Linked DNA regions of Macaca fascicularis. The protein of the gene in region 1 interacts with the protein of each later gene in a biochemical or structural test. Links are inferred from orthologs where the notes say so. Each region holds a gene or a part of one and is shown on either strand. Other genes may lie near its edges.

Region 1 (3,500 bases):
TGTTTTTCAGCGTTTCTCCATCCACACTGCATTTCTTAGACTGTTTCTCAGGGATCTTCTAGTGATCAAATGTGGACTGTCTAAATACAGTCACTCTATGTTGGACAGGTCTCTAAATCCAAAGACTGCCAAGCTGTGTTCGCCTTCAAAGAAACACACTTCTATCAGCGGACTTGGGTGCACACAGCCTCGGGTGTGAGGCTGGGTGCTGGGAGACTTCCTGAGCTGGGGCACACAGATGTCCTGGGTGGTACTCCAGATTATATGCTACTGTGTGACCGTCAGCATCCTAGAGAAGGGGCTGTGTGTTGGGATTTTAAAATTTTGCCCCAAAAGGTACAGTGTAAGGGTCCTAAGCTGATGGAGAAATTTAGGACTAAGCTAGAAGAGCACCCCATGGGAGCTACATCGAGGAGAAACTCAGAGCATCCCTCTCATACACAGTGACACTGGGCAGTTTGAAATACCTTTAAGCTCTACCCGGTTTGGCAGTGGAATTTAGTAGCCAGAACAGATGATAATGTTTTTCCCTTCCCCTATGATCACCTTAGCAGCAACCCTTTACATTTAAGACTACGGGGGTGTTAGAACCAAGTTCTGTAAGAATTTGGATCTGCAACTGTGTGGGGTTCATTCCACAGTAGATTTGAAGCTATTGGAAATCTATTGCTGTTTTCCAGACACTTGGAAGTATTTTCTATGTAAATAGAACTAATTAACTTTGTCTAGAGAAAATAATTATCTGGGTGTACATTATTTTATTAAACTGATCAGAAATCAAATGCAAGGTATTAAATAATAATGATTTCTTGCACAAACAGCCATCAGTGGCCTATGTACATACCACGCCGGGTCTGCCTTCAGGCTGGGAAGAAAGAAAAGATGCTAAGGGGCGCACATACTATGTCAATCATAACAATCGAACCACAACTTGGACTCGACCTATCATGCAGGTACGAAGATCGCCATCCAACTTAAAACCGCAGGCCATAGAAGCCGAAATGTACATGACCGACCTCCCTCCCTGGTGTTTATATATTGTTCTGAAAGAGTCATATTTGTAAAAAGCTTTCTCACAAAGAAAATGCATTACTTTAAATACAATAATAGCCTAAGGAAGAATTTGCTTTCCAAATCAGTTTATCACTGAATACATTTTTAAAATGTGAAGTGAAAGATATTTTCAAAGTAAGAGCCTATTACAGTGTGTAGCTTCTTCCCTGCCCCACCCCCCACCCCCTGCCTTTAATCTGAGGCTAGTTTTTATGCTGGGCTAGTGATTCATTTTTATTTCCCTTGAATGTGTTTCCCCATCCTTTCCCCCATCATTATGTTTAATTATTTCCTCCACGCTTTAAATAGGCCAGACCTCTTATTATTGCTGTTTGCGTTGTTGTTTGGGTTCGCGCTCCTAATCACACACACAGGGAGATCCTCCTATGAAGCTAACTTGTTTTTGCCTCCAAAATAGCTTGCAGAAGATGGTGCGTCTGGATCAGCCACAAACAGTAACAACCATCTAATCGAGCCTCAGATCCGCCGGCCTCGTAGCCTCAGCTCGCCAACAGTAACTTTATCTGCCCCGCTGGAGGTGAGACGGCTACCTCATCTAACTGGACTCACTCTGTCCTGTGACTCCCATTCTTTCTTCTCTCTTAACTCTGCCTTCAGTTTGGCAGCCACCTCCTCTCTCTGATCAGTCGTTGTGTTGGTGGTGAAGGAGGTTCTTGTGCAGCCTTTCTACCTGCTTCTCTGTCTCGCCCAGTTAACATTCCTGGACTCTCTCACCTGATTCTCATTCTCATTTGGCTAAGGCCGCAGTGACTTGTGCTGGACGTGGGCACTCTCTTTTCAGGACTTCCACCGTTCTTGTTGTGTTTCGCTTCTTTTTGCCTGTTACCTCATTAGAATTGCATAATCTGTCTTTCAAATACCAAGTGCTGATATTGAGTTTTTAAACATAGCTATTGCTTTGATCATTTTTTTTCTTTCGACTGTAGGGTCTTTCATTCTATGGGCATACATGTTTCTGATGCATATTTGCATATCTGCATCGTGGCTGGGCATCTGCTTGTGCTCTCTGTCGTGTTTGTATTGTTTTGGTGCCATCCTTTAACATCACAAATGTCAGAGTTAGAGAAGCCAAAGAGCAAAGGTTTGAGGTCCTAAGCTTGACTGTGTCTTAGAGACAACTGTAGGCTTCTCCATGCCCTGGGTCCAGATGCCAATAAGTGGGAATGGATGCTGTCTCTTCCACACACTGATATGAATGTCATGGGCAACAACTGTGAGATTCCAGATCATTGTCTTTATTGATGTAGGTTTTTCTCTTCTGTGCTCTAAAACTTGCCAATCTATTCTTCATTAGACTGTGAGCTCATTAAGAGCAAGGGCACGTTTTTCTCTACTCTGTAAAATCTCCATCCATAATGCTTAGTACAGAACAGTATTTTTGGTACATACTGAGTAGCTACCAAAGGATGGTGATTATAAGTACTTAATATTGTTGTGTGTTTATCCAACAGAGGAAATGTAAAGTTAGATTGATTTAAAAGTAAATGAATGACAGAAAACAGGTTTTGGGAATCTTCCCTCTTGCCCGCCTCCAAAGAGAAGCCTCCTACAATACCCAGGTACATTTTGGCACATTGGAATCGCAGCTGCTGAAGAGTTCTAATGCTAATTGTTATTCTTTAGGGTGCCAAGGACTCACCCGTACGTCGGGCTGTGAAAGACACCCTTTCCAACCCACAGTCCCCACAGCCATCACCTTACAACTCCCCCAAACCACAACACAAAGTCACACAGAGCTTCTTGCCACCCGGCTGGGAAATGAGGATAGCGCCAAACGGCCGGCCCTTCTTCATTGATCATAACACAAAGACCACAACCTGGGTAAGGCTGCTGCTTTTATTTGGCTCCGTTTTCATCGTGAAGTCTGGCATTAATTCCTTGATTTCCTTACTCAGTGTTTGTAGTTCTTGCAGAGGAATTAGATTGACTGTAAAGGGTGTTTCCAGAGGGTCTCCTCAGCCTGCATCTGGCCCTTGCACAAATGGGTGGGTGGGAGTGGGTGGGCACAGGCTGATAGCTGTCTTTGGTACTAGTGCTGGGACTGCCTTTTCTCCTGGGAAACTCTAGTTTAGACAGTTCACCATGCTGGATGGAAAGGTACTGTTCTGTGCTGTTAAGATTTTGTTAATTGATCCCATCTTACAAAATAAGGAGTTATAATCATTTTCAAAGAGGAGTTATAATCATTTTCAAATAATTTTTTCTTTTGTCAGTTTCTTTTTGCACTTTTATTGGCATTACCCACCTTCTTTTGATTTGTCACTTTAGTTTTTACTGTTCACATCAGATCAGTATTCACACGTCTGAGCTACATTTCCGTGCCCTTAATCATGGGATAGGGGATGTATGGAGTGACTTTGGTTGTAAATCTGATACTCCTTTTTGTGATCATTTTGTCAAAATTGATTTTTCTTACCATGCAACTG
Region 2 (4,137 bases), on another chromosome or scaffold:
AGCACCCAGCAATAATTTTTAACTCTTCATTATTCATTGAACATTTAGTTAACAATTGTAAAAATGTTGTTTCCTGCTGTCATTGATCTTGTGAAGAATATTTTTGGACTATAGCTGTGGATTATTTCCTAAATAGTGAATTACTTGAGCAAAAACTTTACATACTTTGAGGGCTGGTAACCCATGTTGCCGCAATGTTTCCCCAAAGGCATTGCAGAGTTTAGAATGCCAGTACTTATATTAAAGTGTGCCGTTTTCAACATCCCTGGCCAACATCCCTATATGTAAGATTTTTCCAAAACATGGTTCTGATTTTTAAAAGTGAAAAATGCTACTTCATCATGTTCTTTTTGTGCTTCTCACTTTAAATATTAGAATGAAGAAGGAGCCCCACAGGAAGGAATTCTACAAGATATGCCTGTGGATCCTGACAATGAGGCTTATGAAATGCCTTCTGAGGTAGGAGTCCAAGCTGAATCTTTCTAACAGTACCAACAACCTGTCATTGTCATATTTCTCTTGCTTAGTGAGAATCATTTGCTCTCTACATGCTCATTACGTGGACAACTTTCAAGCTAGGAATGGTTTTTACATTTTTAAAGGGTCCAAAAAAAAAGAGGAGGAGGAGGAAGAGAGGATGTAACACAAATTCTAAGTCCACATAGCTTAAAATACTACTTGACCCTTTACAGGAAAAGTTTACTAACTCCTGCATTAGAGAATATATTTTTAGAAACTATACATTCTAAAATAAGTTTCTAAATGGAAAGTTAGGGAAATCAACGGAATGCCAAAGGAAGGTAATTATTTTTTGCCATACATTTCCAGTGGGATGATTGCATAGTAAAATAAAAGTTACCCACACAAGTTATAGAATGAAAAGATAAATGTATGATTTGCAACAATTGATATATTCCAGTATAACATTTTAAACAACGTATGATTGTTAATTTTATTTTTATTGAAAACAAAAGTATTTTAATAGAAAATGTATCAAAAGGGAAATTAGAAAATACTGTTAGATGAAAAAAACTGACCCAAGAAGAAATAGTAAATCTGAATAGATTTGTATAGATTTGTAACACAGTGAAGTGATTAAATGATTAAATTAGTAAAAAAAAAAAAAAAAAAAAAAAAAAAAAAAAAAAACAAAAAAAACACCTGCATGCAAAGAAAATCCCAGGCCGAGACAGCATCACTGGTAAGTTCTACCAAACATTTAAGGAAGAACTAATACTAATTAGTTAACACCAATTAATATCTCTTACACAACATAGGAGTCATTTAGACATTTCCCAACTAATTCCGTGAGACCAATATTACCCTGATAATCAAAACCAAACAAAGATATCACAAGAAAAGAAACTGTATGATGGTTCCATTAAAAATTGAGTTCAAATATGTTGTGGTTAGGTTATGTATTATTCCTCATGGCATTATTAAAAGGCATATCAAGGATGGGTGCAGCGGCTCACACCTGTAATCCCAGCACTTTGTGAGCCAAAGTGGCCAGGTTACTTGAGGCCAGGAGTTCAAGACCAGTCTGGCCAACATGGTGAAACCCCATCTCTACTAAAAATACAAAAATTAGCCAGGCATGGTGGAACATGCTTATAGTTCCAGCTACTTGGGAGGCTGAGGCACAAGAGTTGCTTGAACCCAGGAGGCAGAGGTTGCAGTGAGCTGAGATGGCACCCCTGAACTCCAATCTAGGCAACAGGGCAAGACTGTCACTCACACACACACACACACACACACACACACACACAGCATATTAATAATAATTCAATTTATAGAAATTGAGATTAAATTGTTTGCCTAATAAGAATTTCCAATATTTTGGGGTCTTTTATGCAAGACACAGTACCAAACACTATAGAAAACTATAGTGTAATTGACATTACCAGGATATAAGGAGTTTACAGTCTGGTAGGTTTGATGAAAAAAATAGAAATTCATTCATTCATTTCTTCATTATGATTCCTTCCTTTAACAAACATTATTGATTGCCTTCTATGTACCAGGCATCACAGGAGCAAAGATATACAAGATATACTAAAAAGTATAACATTTTAAAGGATCTGTTTCAATCAATCAGGAGTAGTTTTATTGAGGAGGTAATGTTGATCTGGGTGGGAAAAGGAAAGAGATATGGTAGGGCAAAACAAACAGAGGACGTTCTGGCACAAGGGAATATCAGAAGCAAAGGCATATGTGTCTGAGAATGCAAATGGATATGTCTGAGAACAGTAAATAATTATGACTCAAGCTTAGGAACAAGGAAAATGGTGATAGATTGAACCTGCAGCTATGGGTCAAAGACAAATTATAGAGTATTAGGACAATCTTGTCATTTAAGTTTGTGTTCTATTCAGAAAACAACTTCAGTTATTGAAGATATGCTTATTTGTTTGTTTTTAAGCAGAATCCTGATATTATTAAAGTTGCTCTTTAGGAGGAATAATCTGACCCCTTTAATTACATCATTAATATTTGTATTGTGGATGCTTTCCAGATATTGTATGGAGAGCTTGGGGTCTGAAATACAACTAATAATTGAAGCCATAGATGAAGATGAAATTTTCAAGTGGGAGAGCGAAAGTAGGGAAAATGTACCTCGCCTTCAAACGTCTTAATTTCCTTCTGAGAATTAGAGCGTCTTAGCCCTGGAAAAGGCTTTATAGACCGCTTGATTTTATTCTCACATTTTACAGGTGAAGAAACTGAGAATCAGCCAGTCCAACTTATTTGTCCTACCTGACTAGGTATATGATCATTAAATGGTACATCTGGATTAGAACCTAGATATTTTAACTGATTACTACCACAATTCACATCTATATCGGACAGGAAATACACAACTATTAAAAATAAGATAATGTATATTGCAGAATATTTGCAAAAACATTGAGTGTAAATTTTAATGTAAGTGATGAGCCATTTCCTATCTCATTGGCTGTCAGTGCTGATGCATGATTGAAACTTACACTAACAGTGCGTGCTGTCTTTTTTATTTTTCTAATATTAGGAAGGGTATCAAGACTACGAACCTGAAGCCTAAGAAATATCTTTGCTCCCAGTTTCTTGAGATCTGCTGACAGACGTTCCATCTTGTACAAGTGCTCAGTTCCAATGTGCCCAGTCATGACATTTCTCAAAGTTTTTACAGTGTATTTTGAAGTCTTCCATCAGCAGTGATTGAAGTATCTGTACCTGCCCCCATTCAGCATTTCGGTGCTTCCCTTTCACTGAAGTGAATACATGGTAGCAGGGTCTTTGTGTGCTGTGGATTTTGTGGCTTCAATCTATGATGTTAAAACAATTTAAAAACACCTAAGTGACTACCACTTATTTCTAAATCCTCACTATTTTTTTGTTGCTGTTGTTCAGAAGTTGTTAGTGATTTGCTATCGTATATTATAAGATTTTTAGGTGTCTTTTAATGATACTGTCTAAGAATAATGATGTATTGTGAAATTTGTTAATATATATAATACTTAAAAATATGTGAGCATGAAACTATGCACCTATAAATACTAACTATGAAATTTTACCGTTTTGTGATGTGTTTTATTAACTTGTGTTTGTATATAAATGGTGAGAATTAAAATAAAATGTCGTCTCATTGCAAACAAAATTTTATTTTTATCCCATCTCACTTTAATAATAAAAATCTTGCTTATAAGCAACATGCATTGAGAACTGACACAATGGACATAAAGTTATTAATAGGCATTTGAAGAAGGAGGAATTTTAGAAGAGGTAGAGAAAATGAACATTAACCCTACACTGGGAATTCCCTGAAGCAGCACTGCCAGAGGTGTGTTTTGTGGTGCCTTAAGTGGCTGTGATTAAAAAAAAAAAAAGTGGGCTCCAGGGAACGAAGCAGTGTAAAAGATGATTTTGACTACATCCTCCTTAGAGATCCATGAGACACTTTAGCACATATTAGCACATTCAAGGCTCTGAGACAATGTGGTTAACTTAGTTTAACTCAGCAGTCCCCACTAAAAAAAAAAAAAATCATCAAAAATTCTCTCTCTCTATTCCTTTTTCTCTCGCTCCCCTTTTTTCCAGGAAATGCCTTTAAACACCTTTGGGAACTATCAGGATCACCTTAAAGAAGATCAGTTCTCC
Region 3 (3,132 bases), on another chromosome or scaffold:
CTATACAGGGTAAAAATAAAGATTTCAACTGAGTCAAAACCATTTAATTCTGTTATTAAACCTAATCTAAGGTTAGCTCCAGTCAGATAATTTAGTATCTTCTATGATATATTACCCTTCATCTTTTTCTAGTGTTTTAGTTGGTAATATAGCATTCATTTTCCTTCTGTTTTTAATGTGACTGTGCTTAGGTTACTTTCCGCACCAGAATTTATCACTGCAACATCAACAGTCAGGGAGTCATCTGTCTGGACATCCTTAAAGACAACTGGAGTCCCGCTTTGACTATTTCAAAAGTTTTGCTGTCTATTTGTTCCCTTTTGACGGACTGCAACCCTGGTAAGCAAATCTTTATTAACACAAAAACCAGTGCGTTTTTTTTTTTTTTTTTTTTAGTTAGCTTTAAATGTAGATTGAGAGGTAAATGTTATTGATAGGAAGATCTCCGTAAAATAGTTTGTAAGGAAATTACCAGTGCCATTTGAAGTAGACTAGGCCAGAAGTTTCTCAATACCTTCATTTAATTTGTTAATGGCATACCACTCTATAATTATTTTGTCACCATCACTAATGGAATCTTTACTTTTAAAACTGTTTAGGTGCACAGACTACTTCTACCAAGAGTAAACCAATGTCTCTGAAACCAGTGCCTCCTTTTCCTGCTCCTTCCATTCTGCGATAGGCTTTTAAGCAGCTACTTTAATAATAGAGGGCTTCTTGTTCTCCCTTCCTTTTTGAATTAATTAGTTATATTAGGTGTAGTAGTAATGAATATTAAAATGATAGCCAATGAGAATTGAACTAGATTATGATTATATAAACTCAGAGATAAAATCATTTGTGTGTAATTCATAACTTTAAAAAATGCCTGCCACATGTGAACTTCAGAAACTTGAGTAGCTGACTTGATAAAATGATGTTTAGACCTGAAATTTCACACATTTTGTTTTGCTATGTGATTTTTTTTTTAAGTTGACTTACTTTTTCTAAATATTTGATAAGTCACTGAAAACTGTTACTGTTGTTACCTTGTGCTTGGCCGAGATACATATACAATAGATAGAGACAGATGGATATTCATTGTGGTATCATTTATTAGAGTATTGGAAACAACCTCAATGTCCATTAATTGATGTAACTTTTTAAAAGAATGTTTATATGACTCTATATGAACTCATAGGGAAATATCTTCGAGATATATTAAGTATAAAAGGCACTGGAAAAAATACATATATACAACATAATATTCTAAATGCTTGTCAGTGCATCTAAGAACTCTGGAAAGTAATGTTGTAAATGGGTAACAGTTGTTTGCCGGGGAAAGAAACTTCTGAGTAGTTGGAGTCAGGAAGGAAGAGAGTTTTTTTTACTGGCTATGGTTTGGTACAGTTCAAATATTGTACCATATGTACATATTTTTTTCTTTTTAAACATTATGATAAAAATTTATATCAGGTTCACTCTCTAGTTCAGAATTCTACTTAAAACAAAATGGCAAGTAAGGTTTCAAGTGGAAATATAGATAGTGATTAGAGTCATATCAGGCACAGAATGAAGGAAGCATTGTATTTGAAATAGCATGGTATCGTAAGACTGGGGTTTTACTTAAAACTTGCCATTTTTGAACTATTCATAAGCAGAAATATAACCTCCTAGTATACTTCCATTGTTGAATGAAAGGCCAAAATTATAAAATAGTTTTTTGTATATTAAAGACCTGTGTCTTTCATAAAAGTCAAATCTAACTATTTTTGTATATAGCTCAAAATTTGTTGTTGTTGTTGTTGTTGTTGTTGTTTTGCTGAAGGGGGCTTTCCTAACTTGAATATTAAAATACACATATGATCATGTTACTTTAAATTTTTTCTTTTGAAAATCTAGCTATTATATATGAAGATACTGCGGAAAAGTAAGCATTTCATTTTAATAGAATATTAGAACTATACCTTGAAGAAGATACCACAAAATAGCTTTTAATGTTCTTTCCACTTTTCCAGCGGATCCTCTGGTTGGAAGCATAGCCACTCAGTATTTGACCAACAGAGCAGAACACGACAGGATAGCCAGACAGTGGACCAAGAGATACGCAACATAATTCACATAATTTGTATGCAGTGTGAAGGAGCAGAAGGCATCTTCTCACTGTGCTGCAAATCTTTATAGCCTTTACAATACGGACTTCTGTGTATATGTTATACTGATTCTACTCTGCTTTTATCCTTTGGAGCCTGGGAGACTCCCCAAAAAGGTAAATGCTATCAAGAGTAGAACTTTGTAGCTGTAGATTAGTTATGTTTAAAACGCCTACTTGCAAGTCTTGCTTCTTTGGGATATCAAAATGTATTTTGTGATGTACTAAGGATACTGGTCCTGAAGTCTACCAAATATTATAGTGCATTTTAGCCTAATTCATTATCTGTATGAAGTTATAAAAGTAGCTGTAGATGACTAGGAATTATGTCATTTGTATTAAACCCAGATCTATTTCTGAGTATGTGGTTCATGCTGTTGTGAAAAATGTTTTACCTTTTACCTTTGTCAGTTTGTAATGAGAGGATTTCCTTTTACCCTTTGTAGCTCAGAGAGCACCTGATGTATCATCTCAAACACAATAAACATGCTCCTGAAGGCATAGTTTCCTGTCGTAATATTTTACGTCAGTCTTGTTAGAAGGTGTGTCTGAGATGATTGTTGATGAAATAAAAATGCGTCTATGAAGATTACTAAAGACTAGCACAAATAAACCAATTCTTAAATTGAAAACATTTAAAGTCCTATTAAATGTGTAGAGATTTTTTCCTTTGTTATTGAAAGAATGACCGTAAATAATCAAAAGTGGATTTTAACCCATTAGTCTCAAACACATAGAGCTGTATTTTGGTAATATGATGCTTAAGTCAAAATGCGTCTGGTAATATCTTATGGAACATGTTGTTCAGCATTGGGCAGTATTGTTAGATGGTAACTTTGATGTGGTAGCTAGTGTACTTTTTACTTCTAATCCTGGTCTTGAATTTTCGTGGTGTGTATTACCATTCTTACTATGGCAGGTGGCCAGCAAATACAGCCAGAGGCACAGTTGAACACAGAAATCTTTGTCTGCCTTGAAGGTAGACTAGAACTGTGTTAGTG
Region 4 (3,500 bases), on another chromosome or scaffold:
AAGCCAGGTCACGTGCTAGGGGATCTGGTTTTAGGCAACCAAGTTGCACATAAACACAAATTATTTTAAGGCCCTGTGAAAGAGCCAGTGCTATGTCTCCTTTATACCCAAACAGGTAGCCTTAAGAGCTCTCAGGCTTACCTATAAACGATGTTCAGTGAGTGCAGGTAGCCCAAGGCACTGGCTATTTCAGCAGCATAGAAACGAGCCCGTGGTTCCAGGAAGCAGCGTTCCCTCTGGAGATGGTAGAACAACTGCGAGAGACAGAACAAAGTCAGGCTGGGTTGCAAATGAACTTAATTAGTTTTGACATATACAGCAAAAGAACAACTGCAGGAAGCAGCCCCAAGTAATCTATTAACTATAAACCTGATAGGTTGAAGGAAATGCTAATTCTGGTAACATTCTCCCCACCAAGTATCTTTGAAAACTTTCTTCTCAAACTAAAACAAAGCAGGCTATGCAGAGACACTAAGAGTTGACGTCTTCTATTCCCCCTGCTCACCTCTCCACCATTAATGTAGTCTAGGACAAAGTACAATTTGTCAGCAGTCTGGAAAGAGAAGTGAAGGCCCACCAGGAAAGGGTGTTTCACATTCTTCAGCAGAACATTCCGCTCCGACATAATATGCTTCTCCTAGGAAAATGACAATTCAGATTTAGTGGCATATTTCAACTTGGCACCAAAATTCCAAGATCAAGATTATTCAAGGAGTGTCTACCTCCAATGCCAACCTCATCAAGCACATCTCATACCTCTTTCTTTTTCAGGATTGCTTTCTTCTGTAAAACTTTGACTGCATAGAATACTTCTTCTGCCTTGTGTCTTGCTAGAAGAACCTGAAATTTCAATTTAAAAAAAATCATTTTTCTATCCTTATCCAGGGAGAATGTAAAATGAGGACATGAAGAAAGTGTACCAAAAGATCTTCAGATTCGAAATTACCTTTCCAAAACTGCCCTTCCCAATCACTTTCAAGAAGTGAAAGTCAGATGGTTTAGCATGAGGATTGGACGATGGGCCAAGGTTGATTTGCTGAGAAGGACTTGGCTAGGAAAAAAAGAAAAGGATTTCTCTTAATATCATTGCTTCAAAGGAAGACAGTTATAATATAAACGATGTAGAAGATGTTACATCTACAAATGACTGAGGCAAATGACCATACATCTGTCTATAAACATTCAAAACTACATTTCATCACAAGTCATTTCAAATGAGTATGGAAACTGCACACAATCATGTTGTTTCGGACAGATAAAACTTTTTAATGAAATATGCCTTTTAAAATAATCCACTTTGGAGGTAAAATACGCCCACGAAAAAATAAAATAATACTGACTGAATACTTAAATATTTGTTATCACTTGTTATGCCATAAAGTAATGAAGCATTCCTGCTTTGATACTAAATTCTAGAAATGCTATTTTAAACCATTAAGGCAGGAATACTAACTGACTCCCTTACAGTTCTCCACAGAGGCACTGCACATAGAAAATACTTACTGGAGGAGAAGGGTTGGCATTCATAAGCTCAGGCTCCTGAGGTTGGGAGATTTTCAAGATGGACTGAACTTCAGGGCTGCAGGGAATAAAGGGCACGATTCAGAATCCAGCTCGCCACTAGGGGGCACACCAACATCAAAAGTCAGTTTCTGGCTCTACCGTCTTCTACCCGGATAATTCGGTGTTTAAACTGAAAATACCCCAATATATTACTCAGTTAAAGAAAATAATAAACCCCGTTAAATACAGAAATAAGGATTGTTGCTCATGGAGAAAGGGAGTGAATTCGGCCGACACGAACCATTTATCTTACATCTCCAGTTCAAGCCAAAACAGCAAATTAACTTTAATGTTTAAAATGTGTCTAATATATTAAAATTTAAGGAGAAAAGAGATTCCCACCCCAGAAGAAGTCTTCGCCTTCCCGATAAACGCCGTGATGAGAATGTTTACTGCTGGCAAATTCAAACCAGACTAGTTATTCTTATTTCCTCAAATCCCGTCAAACTTACTGTTTGCATGCATAGGAGTTATTGGCAATCTTCTGAATAAAGTCGTTCAGGCCCATCCTCCTTTGCTTCATGAAAGCTGTGGATTAAGGAGGAGAAATAAAGAAACGTTTAGACGGCTTCATAACGTCCGGAGCCACATACACTAATCTGATGCCGGACTTTCAAAAAATTTCCACTTTGAGTCTCCTGGAGCATAAGTCCCGCCAGATTCCTGCACTCACCGATGAGAATTGCCACCATGCCCCTCATCCTGGAGTAAGTGAGGGTGCCCTTAGCTGCCTCGGTTTTCACCGTCATCACCACCGCGGGGAGACAGGAAGACGTTAGCGCTCGGAGACCGGCTCGGTGTGTGCCGCGCCGGGCCGCGCGCTCGGCCTTATAGGCGAGGCCCCGCCGCGGGGGCGGGGCCTGAGCGACAATGAGAAGCGGCCCCGCCCTTCGCCTCGCCCCTCCCTCCGCCCGGACCGCCTCGCGGTTTGCTGGCAGCGGTGCTGCCTGTGGCGGGCGGTTCTGTCCCCATTGAGAGGGCGAGCCCCGGGCAGGGGCGCGAGGACCGTCCGGGGAGGGCCTGGCGCGGGGCCGTTATCAGCCTCCATCGGCCCCCGAGGCAGAAGAGAGGGAACGCGCCAGCGGAGGGCGCGGGGAGGGCCGGAGAGCCCAGGGTAGTTTTCCACCTCTCATTTATTCCGCCGCCCGAGAAAGCCGGGGTCGCAGCGCCGAGGCGCTTCCCGGCGGGTGCGCGGCGGCCACGGTGGCTTCGCTCACTCCCTCCCTGCAGATTCCCTTTCCCCGGCCTGGCGCCGTCCTGCGGCCGGACCCCCACCTCCCTCCCCAGCCCAAGCCGGCGGTGCGCGCCACCCTCTGGGGTTTATCTCTGGGGCGCAGGGCGAAGCGCGCGACCTTGCCTGCCAGGTCCTCCCGTTCCCGCCGCCGGGACCCCGGCTCCCAGAACTCCGACGAAAGCCTGCCCCTGCGGACGAGCCCGCGAGCGGGGCAGGAGCCGAGCCGCTCTGGGGAAGTGAGCCAAGTCCCCAGCGGGGCCGGCGACCGCGCTTACCCAGTCCGCTCAGCAGGAAGGACTCGCTCCTTTTCTGCGCCTCGGCCCTCTTTTTGTGGCGGGGCCGCAGCAGGGACTCGAGCCGGGCCCTGGCCAGCGCGCCCTGCATCTCCCTCATGGGCAGCGGGCAGCGGGCGGCGGGGCGCACGGCAGGCGAGAGCGACCGGCGAGCACTGACGTTTCCTTGAAGGAGCCGCCGTGACTCAGGCCGGGCAAGATTTCCTGCCCCGAGTCCCAAAACAAACAAATGGCCCTTGTGCACGGTCGGGTCGCTTCCGAAAACGCCTTTTTTGTGCTTTTGGCCAAAACCAAGCAAGGCTGAAAAATCCCAGAACTTGGAAGAGGAGGAAGGAAGGAAAGAAAGAGGGAAGGGGGGGAGGGAGAGGTCAGGAATGTGGAGGGGAGGGGGCGGAAATAAAAGTCGTCTC
Region 5 (4,119 bases), on another chromosome or scaffold:
CATGCCTGAGGGTTTTTTGTTTTTTTTTTTTGGTATTTTTTGTATTTTTAGTAGAGACGGGTTTCACTATATTAGCCAGGCTGGTCTCGAACTCCTGACCTTGTGATTTTGCCGCCTTGGCCTCCCAAAGTGTTGGGATTACAGGCGTGAGCCACTGCACCTGGGCTTTTTTTTTTTTTTTTTTTTTTTTTTTTTTTTGAGACAGAGTCTCGCTCTGTCGTCCAGGCTGGAGTATGGTGGCACAATCTCAGCTCACCATGGTCTCTGCCTCCCGGGTTCAAGTGACCCTCGTGCCTCAGCCTCCTGAGTAGCTGGTATTACAGGTGCACCCTACCACGCCCAGTTAATGTTTTGTATTGTTAGTAGAGACAGGGTTTTACCATGTTGGCCAGGCTGGTCTTGAACCCCTGACCTCAAGTGATCCAACTGCCTCGGCCTCCCAAAGTGCTGGGATTACAGGCATGAGCCACCACTGCCCAGCCAAGACTATATACTCTTATTTCCCAGTGAATACATTATTGACAGTTTTTGAAAATACTGACTGTAGCCCCAAAAAGCTTAACTGGTTGGAGATACAGGGCAGACAAAGGATAGATAAAAATGGTAGGGGCAAAGAGTAAATGCTATGGGATTCTAAGGGTATCTGTATGAGTGAGATTCCTTTTTGTTGTTGTTTTGTTTTTGAGAAGGAGTCTCGGCTCTGTCACCCAGCCTGGAGTGCAGTGGCTTGATCTTGCTCACTGCAACCTTCGCCTCCCAGGTTCAACCAATGCCTCAGCCTCCGGAATGGCTGGAATCCCGGGATTACAGGCATGCGCCACCCTGCCCAGCTAATTTTTTTTTTTTTTTTTTTTTTTTTTTTGAGACAGAGTCTCGCTCTGTTGCTCAGGCTGGAGTGCAGTGGTGCGCAATCTCAGCTCACTGCAGGCTCCGCCTTCCGGGTTCACGCCATTCTCCTGCCTCAGCCTCCCGAGTAGCTGGGACTACAGGCACCCGCCACCAGGCCCGGCTAATTTGTTGTATTTTTTTAGTAGAGATGGGGTTTCACCATGTTGGCCAGGATGGTCTCGGTCTCCTGACCTCGTGATCAGCCTGCTTTGGCCTCCCAAAGTGCTGAGATTACAGGTGTGAGCCACCGCGCCCGGGCACTACACCCTGCTAATTTTTGTAGTTTTAATAGAGGCAGGGTTTCACTATATTGGCCAGGCTGGTCTCAAACTCCTGACCTCAGATGATCTGCCTGCCTCGGCCTCCCAAAGTGCTGGGCTTACATGGTGAGCCACCATGCCTGGCATGCCTGGACTTTTTTTTTTTTTTTTTTTTTTTTTTTTCAGATGGAATCTCGCTCTGTCACCCTGGCTGGAGTCCAGTTGCATGATCCAAGCTCTCTGCAGCCTCCGCCTCCCAGGTTAAGTGGTTCTCCTGCCTCAGCCTCCCAAGTAGCTGGGACTACAGGCGCACCCCACCATGCCCAACTAATTTTTTATATTGTTAGTAGAGACAGGGTTTTATGATGTCGGCCAGGCTGGTCTCAAACTCCTGACCTCAAGTGATCCACCTGCCTCGCTCTTCCAAAGTGATGAGATTACAAGTGTGAGCCACCATGCCCAGCCAAGACTATGTACTCTTATTTCCCAGTGAATACATTATTGATAGTTACTGAACATGTTGACCACAGCCCCAAAAGGCTTACTGGTTGGAGATACAGGACAGACAAAGGATAGATAAAAATGGGAGGGGCAAAGAGTAAATGCTATGGGATTCTGAGGGTATTTGAATGAGGGAGGTTCTTTTTTGTTTTTGTTTTGTTTTGAGTCAGAGTCTCTGTCGCCCAGCCTGGAGTACAGTGGCTTGATCTTGGCTCACTGCAACCTCCACCTCCTGGCTTCAAGTGATTCTCAGGCCTCAGCCTCCGGAATGGCTGGAATCACAGGCATGCGCCACCACACCTGGCTAATTTTTTGTATTTTTAGTAGAGACTGGATTTCACCATGTGGCCAGGCTGGTCTCACACTCCTGACCTCAAGTGATCTGGCTGTCTTGGCCTCCCAAAGTGCTGGGCTTACACGCATGAGCCACCCGACCTGGAGTTTTTTTGTTTTGTTTTGTTTGAGATGGAAACTCACTCTCACCCAGGCTGGAGTGCGGTGGCGTGATTTTGGCTCACTGCAGCTTCTGCTTCCCAGGTCAGGTAGTTCTACTGCTTGACCCAGTAGCTGGGATTATAGGCACGTGCCACCACACCCAGCTAATTTTCCTATTTTTAGTAGAGATGGGGTTTCTAGCCAGGCTGGTCTCGAACTCCTGACCTCAGGTGATCCGCCTGCCTTGGCTTCTGAAAGTGCTGGGATTACAGGCGTGAGCCATCGTGCCCGGGCTGTATGACTGTATGAGGGGGGTTCTTGAGCTAGGTGCTTTTTGTTGTTGTTGTTGTTGTTGAGACGGGGTCTCCCTCATTCGCCCAGGAGCACAGTCATAGCTCACTGCAGCCTTGACCTCCTGGGTTCTAGCAAGCCTTCCACCTCAGCCTCCCAAGTAGCTGGGTCTACAGGTACGTGCTGCCACACCCAGCTAGTTTTTACTTTTTGTAGAGATGGGGTCTCACTATGTTGCCCAGGCTGGTCTTGAACTCCTGGCTTCACACAGTCCTTCTGCCTCAGCTTCCCAACGTTCTGGGATTATAGGCATGAGCCACCTCACCCAGCCTTCTTGAGCTGAGGAAAGTTAAGACTGACCTCAAATTTCAGGAGACAGTCCCAAAGGAATTGTGGTAATATTGCGATTCTTTTTTTTTTCCCCCCCGAGACAGAGTTTTGCTCTTGTTGCCCAGGCTGGAGTGCAATGGCGCAATCTCGGCTCATTGCAACCTCTGTCTCCTGGGTTCAAGCGATTCTCCTGCCTCAGCCTCCTGAGTAGCTGGGATTACAGGCATGCACCACCAAGCTCAGCTAATTTTGTATTTTTAGTAGAGACCGAGTTTCTCCATGGTGGTCGATCAGGCTGTTCTTGAACTCCCGAACTCAGATGATCTGCCAGCGTTGGCCTCCCAAAGTGTTGGGATTGCAGGTGTGAGCCACCACGCCTGGCTGAAATTCTTAAGTAAATAAACTTTTCTCTAGGCACATGAATTGGAACTATGGAACAAAGAGATTATTGATGCACTTATTCAAGAAACACATTTACATATGTAGAACAGAAAGGTTGCACAGCTCTTATATACTCAAACATAGTTGTAGAGTTAGATCATGTTCTTAACTTTCTTCATAGTTACCTTTTGGGGAGGAAAACCACCCTTTTTCATATTAAAGTAAAACGTGTACATAATAAAGTGTGACTGGCATCCAAATCAAGAAACAGACCCTTCCCAGTACCATAGGAATCCTCCTTCCTTTCTAGTTACTTTCCTGACTTCTAATAACAGATTAGTTTTGAGTATGTTTGAGTAAAAGAACAGATGTGAGTATATGTTACGTATTTTAAGTTGGAAAGTTTTCAAAAGATGCTGTTCAAAATCTGTTAAGAAAAATATAGTGTCTTAGAAAATGTACTAAAATGTATTGAATTTCAGTGCTGAAATAGATCTAGGCCAAACTCCTCATCTATAAAATCAGGAAACTGAGGCCCAAGGAGGTTGATTGTTCCTCAGAGAAACAGCTGGTTAATGGTTGAACCCAGGCTTTTTGCATACCAGTTTAGTCATAATAAGTAGTTGGTTTGTGGGAATATCCTTTTCATAAACGATAGTGTAAAAGCTGACTGCTAATACAACTTTACAGAAGGAGATAACAATGCAGTATTATTTAAATGTGTCTTTTCTTTTCCCCCTCTTAGTATGAGAACTTAAACTTGCCAAGGAGGTAGAGATTTTTAACTCCTGAAGCATAATTTAGTGAAGTTAGCTTAGTAATTAAGAGCATGGGCTTTATAATTAGATTTGCTTTGAGTCCTGGCTTTTCTTCTTAAAACCTGAAGTACTGGCTCTGTATCTCGATTATCTTTATCTGTAAAAACTGTGGGAAGATTAAGAGTGTCTTTACAGTGCTTAGAATAACCTTGGGACATAATTAAACAGATAGCTGTTAGATGTCAGAAGTAGCTATGTTTTCATATTCTGTTGTG
Region 6 (4,145 bases), on another chromosome or scaffold:
GTCAATCTCGCAAAGAGTTTTTGGGTTTTTTTGTATCTTGCTATTTTAACCAGTTGATTAGGCTCACCCAGTGGCAGTCTTCATTTCAAGGATGTCCTCTGGACATTCATGAAGGAAATAAAGTAAATGGGGCTCCAGATCCCTTTCCTTCCCTTCAGGGGGCTCCACTGTAAGATCATTTTGGGAAAATGTGGTGTTATCTTAAAAACATAGCTGGGCCACATCAAGCAGCACCATAGTTTTGAGGGTATAGAACGTTGGTCTTCAGGTTAAAAGGCACTTTTCACTGCTCTGTCATACTCTTCTACTTGCTAGAGAAATATGTTTTATGCCGTGTCATGTGTGGTTACAGACACTGAGATGCTATTAACAATGCTCCCAAGTGATTCCTTGCTGTTAAATCCATTGGAATTATTATTACCACAAAATAATCCTATCTGATTTCATTACTTTCTTCTAACGTCCTTCCAGTAACCTAGAACTCTAGAGACCTCTTCCTTTGAGAGCTGTCTGGAGAGTCTGTTGGATTTTTAAATCTCTTATTACCAAAAAGTGGAAAAAAATTTAAAAAGTAACCAAAGAGCTGGTGCCTGTAGTCTCAGCTACTCCAGAGGCTGAGGCAGGTGGATAGCTTGGGCTGAGGAGTTCGAGGCTGCAGTGAGCCATGATTGTGCCTGAGAACAGCCACTGCACTCGTCTGGGCAATATAGTGAGACCCCGTCTCTAATCATCCCACAGAAGAATTTCAGGGCAGTGGATAACTCTGTAGGATACTACAATGATGAATACCTGCCATTACACATTTGTCGTAACTCGAGGAGTATACAACAACCTGAGCGAACCCCAAGGTAACTATAGACTTTCAGTGATGATGATGTGTCAATTCGGGTTCATCAATTGTAACACATGTACCACTCTAGTGGGGGATGTTGATAATGGCGGGGTTGGGGGTGGGGTTATGCATGCGTAGGAGCAAAGTGTATACGGGATATCTCTGTAACTTCTCAATTTTGCTGTAAACTACAACTACTCTATATTAGTCTTTTAAAAATCCCTTATCTTACGAATGATTTTTGAATAAGCGTTTTAGCAATGTTCTAGAGATGAATCTCCTCCCCACGTCCTACGCTGGGTGAGTAATACGAGGAAGTGTCGGGTACCCGGGAGACCTGTCCTCAGGTGTTCCAGGAACGCGGCCCCATACCTTTGTCAGCCTCTGTCTCTGTGTGGTGAGAAGGCGCACTGGCTCGTGCCTGCGCGAGACTCGCGCACATAGAAAAGACCAATCAAGGACGGGTCATTCCCGCCCCCCGCGCGCCTTCTGCGACCGCCCACTCGACAGGTTGACAACCTAGACAGCTCCCCCGGACTTGCCTTACTTTTCCATCTCCTCCCACCTAGCTACACCCTCCCACTGGCGGCGCGGATGGGACGCCGGCGGAGCCAGCGAGTCTGCGCGAGCGGCCCGAGCATGCTCAATAGTGCGCGCGGCGCCCCGGTGCTCCTCCGCGGAACCGCGACCAACGCGGAGGTCTCGGCGGCCGCTGCGGGAGGCACAGGAAGTGAAGAGCTTCCGCCGGGAGACCGCGGCGGCAGGAACGGAGGCGGAAGGGGCCCTGCGGCGACGACGTCGTCGACGGGGGTGGCCGAGGGAGCTGAGCACGGAGAGAACTCCCCCGCTCGGAAGCCGGATCCCGAGCCGGGCAGGATGGATCACCACCAGCCGGGGACGGGGCGCTACCAGGTGGTGAGTTCCCGGCCTCCTGTGCTTCCCGGGACTGCCTCCCGCCGGGGCGTCCCGAGAGTCCCTTTCCTCAGGTTATTCCCAGAGGAAACGCTGTGGCTTTTGTTTTGTTTTCTTTTGGATCTTCTGACTGGAGCTGCTTCACTCGCCTCTCCTGCGCACTCCTGCCTAGGACTGCTTCGAAACCCTTCCCTGTCGCCCCAAGTCTCCTCCTAGCTCCTCACCCGTACCCTTAGCCCCCTTTGAGACACCTCCCTCCGCACACCTTACAACTTGTATCTGTTTTAATTTCTCACTTTATCATTTTCTTATTCTCTGACTCAGTCACTTCTGAGACATTCTAGTCGATTGTCTACTGGAAGTGGGGCTGACTTCACATACCTGCCCGGAAGGTGATCGCCGTCATAAATGGGGTGGGTGGGTGGGTAGGTGGGTGAAGGTGTAAGTACTGTGTAGAGTGGGATTTGGCAAAAATGTGGGTTAGGAATTGTGGAACCGAAGAGAAAGACTAGCCATAGTGCTGATCTTGTCTGCTCGTTAACCTTGTCATTTTTGTCCTTTTCCATTATGTTAGTATTAAAAATGACTGTATTTTTTGTAATCCCCAGTTTTTTGTTTTTTTTTTTTGTTTGTTTGGCTAGAGGGGAAACAGAGGTAGTTTTAGTAGAACAAATTCTAATCTTGTTCGAAAAATTATTTTTCGTTAAATACAAGGTTTTCCAGCTTAACTGTGTAAACTTTGGTAACTGTATGTTGAAAAAAGTGAAATATGTTCCTCTGTATTTTCAGTGTCAATTTTTAAATATATTTTTCTTTGTGTATTCTGGTGGTGACGTTGAAGATTCCTGTTGTAAACCTTAGTTAAAAATGGACTGAGCAATAGTTGACTGTGCTGTTGTGCTGTTGCAGCTAGGTAGCATGTCATTCTACAAACTTTCAGCCCATTTACTGAGGGAGACGAGATAAATAATACATAGCAGTGGTGGTGCAATTTATGGTTTATAAAATTTTACAAATTTAGGTATGTTAACCCCAGGTTTCAACTTTCAAATCTATCTGCACATGTCAGACTTAGTTATAAGCCAAGACTTTCTATTAATAAGTACATTTTGGCAATATGAAGGACACTGTAAGATGAGATCCCAATGTATGTAATTTTGCATTTTTCTAAGATAAAAGCTCACGAGGCTTCTATTTTCAACTGGTTTGCATTCTTTAAAACCTACAAAAGGTCCGTGTTCCGAATTCTTTGAAAATGTAGCAGCTTTTCTCAACAACTTGGGAAATACTGTTTCTCCTAGTATGGAAAGCATTTTTCAAGTGTACACCCTTTTGATGGTTTGAAGGGCATTTCTAGGTTTGTAAATGTTAGCAAAAATAAAATGATACAAATACTGAATAATATCAGCAGTGGAACTTGTTTCATTTTTCTAATCTTCCTGTTAGATTAGAAACATTAACCATGTTCTCCTACACACGTCACTACTTAAAACACTGTTAATTTATGTAGCTCTCAGTTTTAAGATATTTGTTTTCCCTACAGCTCCTTTCAAAATAAATGGACATATTTTATTGCTGCCCCCTCCCCTCATTTTTTTCAAACTGATGATGTGTCCCACATAGACTTTGAAGTTCCTTGAGAGCAGAGGGCAAAAATCAGTTCTTCTAAAGATAATGCCTACCAGTCCCTCTAAAGATAATACTTTAAGTAAGTAGGACATCGATTTGTTTTCCTTGTAAGGCAACAGTGTTAGGGTTACACAACTTACATAGTCATTTAACCTATCCAGTATAACTCTTGGTTTTGTTTATAATGGCCTGATTAATAACATCTAAGTGTATGTCAGAGAAAAAGCTGAATTGACATTTTCCGTAGACTTTTTAAACTAGAGATCAGTATTCAGCTCTGGCTTATATGATGAACATAACTATTTTGTGGTTGCCTTTAGCTCAGTTTTTGGGAAAACTGGAATGTGTAATAAACTGGAGCAATAAACAGCTTGAGTTGTCGAATGTTAAGGGATGACTAAGTCAGGAGATAGGCAAGTATACTTAGGGGTGAGATGGTATACAATGTTAATTTTTCACTTATTTAAAGAATTTAAATACAACTTTTCATACTGGAAAGCTAGTAGTGATGCTCAGGGTCATCAGAACGACCTACTACCATTAGCCAGTGCACAAGCTTTATCTAGAAACTGCTTTTTCTGTGATCTTTCCTTTCATTGTTAAAAGCACCCAAAATTTATTAAGTAAAGCAGTTAACAGTTTAGAGCTACAAAAATTCTTGATTGTTACCCTTCTAATTTCAGAAAAAGCCAGGTATGGTACATAATTTTCTGGGAAATTCAGTTTTGTTCGTTAGTAAATGAGCAGTGTTGCTAACTATGATAAAGTTGAC

Evidence for each region.
Region 2: of the proteins of NEDD4L (region 1) and SNCA, one has a biochemical effect on the other in vitro, tested with the Homo sapiens proteins (3 studies listed by BioGRID). The link is inferred for Macaca fascicularis from reciprocal best matches to the Homo sapiens genes NEDD4L and SNCA.
Region 3: the proteins of NEDD4L (region 1) and UBE2E3 form a complex in vitro, tested with the Homo sapiens proteins (3 studies listed by BioGRID). The link is inferred for Macaca fascicularis from reciprocal best matches to the Homo sapiens genes NEDD4L and UBE2E3.
Region 4: of the proteins of NEDD4L (region 1) and SGK1, one has a biochemical effect on the other in vitro, tested with the Homo sapiens proteins (5 studies listed by BioGRID). The link is inferred for Macaca fascicularis from reciprocal best matches to the Homo sapiens genes NEDD4L and SGK1.
Region 5: the proteins of NEDD4L (region 1) and UBE2K form a complex in vitro, tested with the Homo sapiens proteins (2 studies listed by BioGRID). The link is inferred for Macaca fascicularis from reciprocal best matches to the Homo sapiens genes NEDD4L and UBE2K.
Region 6: of the proteins of NEDD4L (region 1) and NDFIP2, one has a biochemical effect on the other in vitro, tested with the Homo sapiens proteins (2 studies listed by BioGRID, with this or other methods). The link is inferred for Macaca fascicularis from reciprocal best matches to the Homo sapiens genes NEDD4L and NDFIP2.

Annotation. Positions count from the first base shown.
Region 1 is NC_088392.1:22,631,293-22,634,792, reverse strand, and holds part of NEDD4L (E3 ubiquitin-protein ligase NEDD4-like), read left to right. Parts: intron 1-821; coding exon 822-953; intron 954-1,471; coding exon 1,472-1,591; intron 1,592-2,697; coding exon 2,698-2,895; intron 2,896-3,500. UniProt on the Homo sapiens protein: E3 ubiquitin-protein ligase that mediates the polyubiquitination of lysine and cysteine residues on target proteins and is thereby implicated in the regulation of various signaling pathways including autophagy, innate immunity or DNA repair.
Region 2 is NC_088379.1:95,268,981-95,273,117, reverse strand, and holds the end of SNCA (alpha-synuclein), read left to right. Parts: intron 1-375; coding exon 376-459; intron 460-3,026; exon of another isoform or gene 3,027-3,028; coding exon 3,029-3,061; 3' UTR 3,062-3,637; downstream 3,638-4,137. UniProt on the Homo sapiens protein: Neuronal protein that plays several roles in synaptic activity such as regulation of synaptic vesicle trafficking and subsequent neurotransmitter release.
Region 3 is NC_088386.1:76,567,738-76,570,869, forward strand, and holds the end of UBE2E3 (ubiquitin-conjugating enzyme E2 E3), read left to right. Parts: intron 1-191; coding exon 192-339; intron 340-1,997; coding exon 1,998-2,095; 3' UTR 2,096-2,632; downstream 2,633-3,132. UniProt on the Homo sapiens protein: Accepts ubiquitin from the E1 complex and catalyzes its covalent attachment to other proteins. In vitro catalyzes 'Lys-11'- and 'Lys-48'-, as well as 'Lys-63'-linked polyubiquitination.
Region 4 is NC_088378.1:38,175,195-38,178,694, forward strand, and holds part of SGK1 (serine/threonine-protein kinase Sgk1), read right to left. Parts: intron 3,251-3,500; exon of another isoform or gene 3,191-3,250; coding exon of another isoform or gene 3,073-3,190; intron 2,367-3,072; exon of another isoform or gene 2,313-2,366; coding exon of another isoform or gene 2,237-2,312; intron 2,092-2,236; coding exon 2,016-2,091; intron 1,580-2,015; coding exon 1,504-1,579; intron 1,052-1,503; coding exon 947-1,051; intron 841-946; coding exon 757-840; intron 638-756; coding exon 506-637; intron 255-505; coding exon 142-254; intron 1-141. UniProt on the Homo sapiens protein: Serine/threonine-protein kinase which is involved in the regulation of a wide variety of ion channels, membrane transporters, cellular enzymes, transcription factors, neuronal excitability, cell growth, proliferation, survival, migration and apoptosis.
Region 5 is NC_088379.1:38,999,305-39,003,423, forward strand, and holds the start of UBE2K (ubiquitin-conjugating enzyme E2 K), read left to right. Parts: upstream 1-1,319; 5' UTR 1,320-1,334; coding exon 1,335-1,408; intron 1,409-4,119. UniProt on the Homo sapiens protein: Accepts ubiquitin from the E1 complex and catalyzes its covalent attachment to other proteins. In vitro, in the presence or in the absence of BRCA1-BARD1 E3 ubiquitin-protein ligase complex, catalyzes the synthesis of 'Lys-48'-linked polyubiquitin chains.
Region 6 is NC_088391.1:70,542,602-70,546,746, forward strand, and holds the start of NDFIP2 (NEDD4 family-interacting protein 2), read left to right. Parts: upstream 1-1,345; 5' UTR 1,346-1,426; coding exon 1,427-1,747; intron 1,748-4,145. UniProt on the Homo sapiens protein: Activates HECT domain-containing E3 ubiquitin-protein ligases, including ITCH, NEDD4, NEDD4L, SMURF2, WWP1 and WWP2, and consequently modulates the stability of their targets. As a result, may control many cellular processes.